Mus musculus: one gene and its partner. The protein of the gene in region 2 purifies or fractionates together with the protein of the main gene of each other region. This does not show direct contact. Links are inferred from orthologs where the notes say so. Each region holds a gene or a part of one and is shown on either strand. Other genes may lie near its edges.

What was found. The genes of interacting proteins can lie anywhere in the genome.
Region 1: the proteins of Styk1 (region 2) and Tmem259 purify together in Homo sapiens (affinity purification with mass spectrometry; 3 studies listed by BioGRID and IntAct, with this or other methods). This does not show direct contact. The link is inferred for Mus musculus from reciprocal best matches to the Homo sapiens genes STYK1 and TMEM259.

Annotation. Positions count from the first base shown.
Region 1 is NC_000076.6:79,978,941-79,981,260, reverse strand, and holds part of Tmem259 (membralin), read left to right. Parts: intron 1-1,507; coding exon 1,508-1,765; intron 1,766-1,870; coding exon 1,871-1,970; intron 1,971-2,052; coding exon 2,053-2,163; intron 2,164-2,270; coding exon 2,271-2,320. UniProt on the Homo sapiens protein: May have a role in the ERAD pathway required for clearance of misfolded proteins in the endoplasmic reticulum (ER). Promotes survival of motor neurons, probably by protecting against ER stress.
Region 2 is NC_000072.6:131,311,028-131,315,199, forward strand, and holds the start of Styk1 (tyrosine-protein kinase STYK1), read right to left. Parts: upstream 2,801-4,172; 5' UTR 1,956-2,800; coding exon 1,892-1,955; intron 1,559-1,891; coding exon 1,424-1,558; intron 173-1,423; coding exon 1-172. UniProt on the Homo sapiens protein: Probable tyrosine protein-kinase, which has strong transforming capabilities on a variety of cell lines. When overexpressed, it can also induce tumor cell invasion as well as metastasis in distant organs.

The DNA of each region.
Region 1 (2,320 bases), on a different chromosome or scaffold from region 2:
CCTTAGGACTGTGGTCTGGGAATCCAGTCTCGTCCCTGAAGGGTGCAGGGATGTGAGTGCACACAGTGGGTGTGCCGGGATGTAAGGACCTCATGAGTCCCATCACCCTACTCTATGTTGGGCACCTTATTGGGCCAGGGTCCTATGCTGGCCAGCAGAGACATGGTGGGAAGCTAGGGTGTCAGTTGGGGCCACAGAGGAGGGTGACCCTAGACAGCTACATGGAGTACTGGGTCTCTTTCAGCCCAGTGCTCATGGTGCGCATGTGCTGTCTGCAAGTGTTGCACGACATCCCTGCTTCCACTCAGCATGGGTTAGGGCAGCGAGCGGTTCTCACCCTTCCTGATACTGCAACCCATTAATACAGTTCTTCATGTCATGGTGACCCCCAACCATAGTTTCTATTCCTACTTCATAACTAATTTTGCTATTATTAATTGTAATGTAAACATCTGTGTTTTCCAGTGGTCTTAGGCAACCCCTGAAGGGGTTGCGACCCACAGGTACCACTGAATTAGGCGACCCCCCTACACACAGACACATAGCCACCCACACACTGAGCAGGAAAAGAGAAGGGTGTTCCCAGAGGCTGGGACCCCTTGAGTAACTCTGCTCCAGCATAGGGGCGTTTGAGATTAATAAGTAATATTAATAGTTGATGCATGCCTTCAATTCCAGAGTCAGAGGGAGGGGGAATCTCTGAGTTCAAAGCCAGCCTGGTCTACAGAACAAGTTCAAGGCCAGACTTGTCTACACAGACACTGTCTTGAAAACAAACAAACATACTTATTTTGTTATGTGTGTATTCATATATGTGTGGGGCATGTATCCCACATGTGTGTAGAAGTCAGAACAGTTTGCAGCTGTCAGATTGCTCCTGCACCTTACATGTATGGCCTGAGGATTGACCTCAGCTTCTCAGGCTTCCTGGCAAGCTCCTTTATCAAATGAGCCATCTGATGGCCCACATTCCCTCCCCCACCCCTTTTAAATGTACTTGAATATGTGTGGCTGGGTCAGCATCAGCAGGGCATCCTAAAACCTCCAGGGTGCTGAGCAGAGTTCACGCCAGGAGCCACCCAGTGGTGAGCCACTCATGTTCTTAACATGCCCTGGCTCTCCTGGATGCGCCTTTTCTAGATGAAGCCACATTTCCCAGGCAGGGTAGCCTGGTCCTGCTGAGGTGCCTGGGCCCTACCAGGGCCGATCAGCTGTGTCCTTGTGGCTTCTGCCAGCCCCAGGAGCAGGGCAGAGGGTGCTTCCCTAGGGACAGTGGCTATTCTTAGCCAGTGAGATCAAGGGTCCCCTAAAGGCAGCTTTGCGTTGGAGCACCTGCTGGGCCTGAAGGTCATGAGACAGCTGGAGGGTGGTGGTACAGGGAACCCTTGCAGTGGGGACCCTCAGCCAGCTAGTTCCCAAGGAGGCACAGGCAGCCATTGCTTCTCCTGCCTGGGAGGGGTGTGTCCCCCGCCCTGCTGACTGCTCACCCCACCCCCCTCACCCCTAGGCCCTGTTTGTGCTTTTCGTCCTCGCCTACATACACATCGTCTTCTCCCGGTCCCCCATCAACTGCTTAGAGCATGTTCGAGATCGATGGCCGCGGGAGGGTGTCCTGCGGGTGGAGGTGCGCCACAACTCGAGCCGGGCACCGGTGATCCTGCAGTTCTGTGATGGGGGCCTCGGTGGCCTGGAGCTGGAACCCGGGGGCCTGGAGCTGGAGGAGGAGGAGCTCACAGTGGAGATGTTCACCAACAGCTCCATCAAGGTGAGCGCGTTCTGGGCATGTGGGCTTGAGGTCATCCACCCAGTGGAACATCATCAGGCTGCCTCCTGCAGGCTCCACTGACACCGTGCTCCCCTGTGCCTGCAGTTTGAGCTGGACATTGAGCCCAAGGTGTTCAAGCCACAGAGCGGTGCAGATGCCCTGAACGACAGCCAGGACTTCCCTTTTCCTGAGACGCCAGCAAAAGGTGTGCAGCCCAGGCAGGGAGGGTTCTGAGGCCATGCTGAGCATGGGACCAGCCCAGCTGACCACTCTGTCCCTGTCTGCAGTGTGGCCACAGGATGAGTACATTGTGGAGTACTCACTGGAATATGGCTTCCTGCGGCTATCCCAAGCCACACGCCAGCGTCTGAGCATTCCTGTCATGGTGGTCACCCTAGGTAAGGCAGGCTGGGCGCTCTGGCAGGCTGGGGCTGGGCCAAGGATGGCTCAGCTGCCGAGGGCTTCCTGGCCTCTCTGACCAATACTGACCCCCATTCACTCGCAGACCCCACGCGGGACCAGTGCTTTGGGGACCGCTTCAGCCGCCTATTGCTG
Region 2 (4,172 bases):
TGCTCCAGAACCTCCAAGAGCTGTTCCCTGGGCACCTGCAGCTTAGCCAGGCGGGGTGTGGCCGCTCGCAGAAAGCCCTCCACTGAGGTCTCCTTAAGAGGCAGAAGTACTTTTTCTCCATGTCCTGCTGCCTCCTGGCTTCTGCCCCTAGATGCAGGTACAGAGGCAGTGCCTAGAACAAAGAGGTAATGTCCATCAACTGCCCCTGCCCTGGGGACACCAGAAAAGCAGATTGAATAAAGTGGCTAGGAAAATTTCTCTACAACTAATACAAGGACATCTTCTGATGCTTCTCAGTGAATGAATACCAACACTGAGCTTTACAATGGTCATAATAATTTCATTCCTTGTAGAAAACTAAAGATGAAGCCCTTGAAAGTGGTCATTTTTTTTTAATAATCCTTGGGATTATCTTCAGTGTTCCCCATGGGTATAGCACCAAGACAGGACAGTTCTAAAACGAAATCCACACCACAGGTACCAAAATATTGCAGTTACTACCAGCAGGGATAGCCTTTAAGTCAGTCATATGACTTCCAAAATTATATCCATAAGCTGTAGTTTTTCTTTCTTCAGGTTGCTCTCAAATGTGGAATCATTTTATATTCTCATGAATCATAGTCAAAAGATCTTCTGAGACTACCTTCCATCCACAGCTACCATTACAACTGGCTAAGAAAGTTTCCTTCTGGTATTTCTAATAATTTGTTAATCAATCAATCTGTTCAGTAAATATCACCATATACCATATGCACTCTCTGAGTTGAGGATAGACAAAGTTCAGATCTACCTAAGATTAGTTTTCAATCATAGAGCATATAGCATTAAGAATGAATGAGACAGTGTGTTAGGAGGGGAAATAGCAAGAGGAGATACTATTTTATCTATAGATGCCAAATATAGGCCTTTTAGATAGGGTAACATTTAATAAAGACCTAGAAGCAATTACAGAGCAAACCATGATGACACTGTAGCACATGGAACAAGATGTATGAAGGCACTAAGAGAAGGATACACTTAGGATGTTTAAGGAGCAGCAAAGAAGGCAGTACAGAGGGAGCCAAGTGGGATGGCTGGACAGATGTGGAAGACAGAGGGGCCAGATCATACAGGGCCCTAGGAAGAACCTTACTATATTCTCTTCTGTGAAACACAGCGAACTGATGGAGGGCTTTAAAATATATGAGCTGAGAGACCAATCAAGGCCTTCATGGATTATTCTGTGTTATCAAGGGAAAACTAGGTCACTATAGAGTTGGGATCAGGTAGAGAGAAAATCATTGGACATGAGAGATATTGAGCGGCTTGGGCTTATCATTTGTAAGATCTGACTATGGGATGGGCCTATTGAAAACCTGGGTTATGATTTTCTTAAAATCAATCGTCCCTGAACCCATGCCTACCCCTAGAGTTTGAGCCTTACCTCGGGGTCCAGGGCTCTGCCTTTGGGATCTCTGTCCTCTGATAAAAAGCCACAGGATGATTGCAAGAAGGATGAGAAAGCCGCCAACCAGGAGAGCCGGAACAATGATTACTTCATACTGCTTCTCTCGGACAACTGTGTAGGCCATAAATGGGGATAGAAGTAAGAATCCTGCCACAGTTCCCCCTACCCAGCATGCCTCAGTGCTCCTGAGTTCTCTTCATTCCCTTCAATGGAGACCCATGGAGGCCAACCTTAACCAGACACTAACCCTGTGGTTTAGACCATCAAGGATCTTTTTTTGTTATTTCTGATTGGCATGTCACCCTCACCCTATAAAAATGATGCCTTCCACCCCCTATTCATTTCCACTAGAAGTGAAACCACCCTCCTCCTGTAGAAACATCCAGAAATCAGTCTCTATTGTTCTGGCATCCGGTTACAGGCAGATGTGGTATCTGCATTTACCACACAGCTTGTCACTGAGACTGCATTCCAACAACACCCGGCTCAGGTGACCCTTCTCTCCCATGGCCACAGGGCCAACCTCCTCTGTTAGGCGCACAGAGGATGCACGGAGCACAGCGGCAGTGGTGCAGTATTTCCAAAGACTTCGTTATTATTCTAGGGAAAAAAAACAAAAAACATAAAACAAAAAACAGCACATGTAGAAAATTTAAATATACCTATGACACTCTAGTTACTAAGCACATAGTGTCTTTTCTGAGCCACCCACTCCTCTCTGCTCTTTTTTCTAAAATTCAGTCTGAAAAACATTCATTTCCCCCCAATGCATTTTACTTTCTCTCTTTTGCAACTTTCCAGCCTTGCTCCTTTTTTCATTGTTATTGAAAGTATTGTAAAGGCACCCTAGACTTATGTGATCATGCTGAAGTAGGGACCCGCCGAACCATCCTGACTGCTGATAAATATCTACCCCTGCTACAATCTTGAAGCATGTTAAATTCATTTCAGCTGCATGTCACATTTTTGTACATAACATTTCATTCCACCTTTATCCAAACCATTGTCTGAATAAATATATATGGCAAATGCCAAGAGATGATTTATGCTTTTTTTACATACAACATATAAATATTTTATTTTACATCAACCAACTGAAATATAATGTAGGAACAATTTCCAATAAGTTCAGTGGGACTTTGTGGGGGCTGGATGGAGACAGAGTTTCTCTGTGTAGCCCTGGTTATCTTAGAACTCACTGTGTAGACCAGGCTGGCCTTGAACTCCAGAGATCTACCTGCCTCTGCTTCCCTTTAATTTTAAAGCAGAGTTTCATGTAAAGTTACAAGTACACAACAGATGTGTCCTCTTTCTCTGTATCCCTCACCCAGTTCCCCCAATGACCACATATTAATGTAACTATGCAATACCAAAACAAGGCAACTCACACCTGCAAAAACAGCACTCTAGAGACAAAGACAGCAAGATGGCAAGTTAGAAGCCAGCCTGTGGCTACCTAGTAAGTTCCCTGTCTACCTTAGTATGTGTGTGATCTCTGTATACCCCAGCATAACTGCTCTGTCTCAAGCTCTAGCTAGCACTGTCTCCTGAACGACACTCACGCCCTCCTGTATTACACCTAACTCCTGGTAACAAGGAATCTGTCTCATCCCTGTATTATTTTGTCATCATATTATATAAATGGAATCATACAATAACACATGTGAGATCACCTTTCTCACTTGTATTATTGTCCTTGAAATCCATCCCAGATCAATAGTGACTTTATTGTCTTCACTGAGAAGTGGTATAACCATCCTGGAAGGAGCCATCAGATTGCCAAGGCATTACCCCCAAAGTTGGAATTTCCATACAAATCTCATGTTGAAGGAAAGGGCTGAAGCCTGATGTCAGTTTTTGCTTGCCTATTCTGATTTACTTGCACCCTCTGAAGAATTAAATAGACATCATTTATTAACAAAAGCTTTTTGGTCCCTTAGCTCTGAAAGCTTATGTGGACCTCCTCAATACCTATCAGAGGTAGTTCAACAAACCCACATTCTAACCAGGTCCTATACTATAGAAAGTGTCACTATAGAAAGAGCCATCTTTTTTTTTTCTCCTTTAAATAAAAAGGAAATACATCTATATGAAAATGTGCTTCAAACAAACATAGGGCTGGGGAGATGATTTAATATGTAAATTGCTAGCTGTGACTGCCTGAGAACCCAAGTTTGGATCCCTGGAATTTGTGTATCCCAGCCTTCCTGGATGAGAGGCAGAAAAACGGAGCACCTCTAAAGCTCACAGGCCTGCTAGCCTGCTGCACACTGCAGGTGAAACAACAAACAGAGCCTGGAACAAGAGGTCTGATATCAGACGATGTCCTTCACAATAATGTAGTGGCATGCAGACACTCACACATGAATTTAAAATCATAATGTAAAATATTGTAGCATAAAAATGTTTCCTGCTCCAGTTAACAATTCTCCAAATAGATTACAGTGACTAGTTTCTTGTTTACTGTTGTAGATTCTTTTTATTAGTAATCTGCTTTGTCCTTTGGAAGTTTCATACAAGTATATAATGCATTTTGGTCCTCTCCCACAAAATACACACACACACATTTTCCTCCTGCCTCTTCCTTACAACACTCCTTCCTTTATACATTAGTTTGTTGGGTTTTTGCTTCTTTTTATTATTATTATTATTTTTTTTATACCCACAGGGTTTAACTTGGGCCACCTGTGTGACCCTACATCACCAATGGGGTGCATAACTGTGT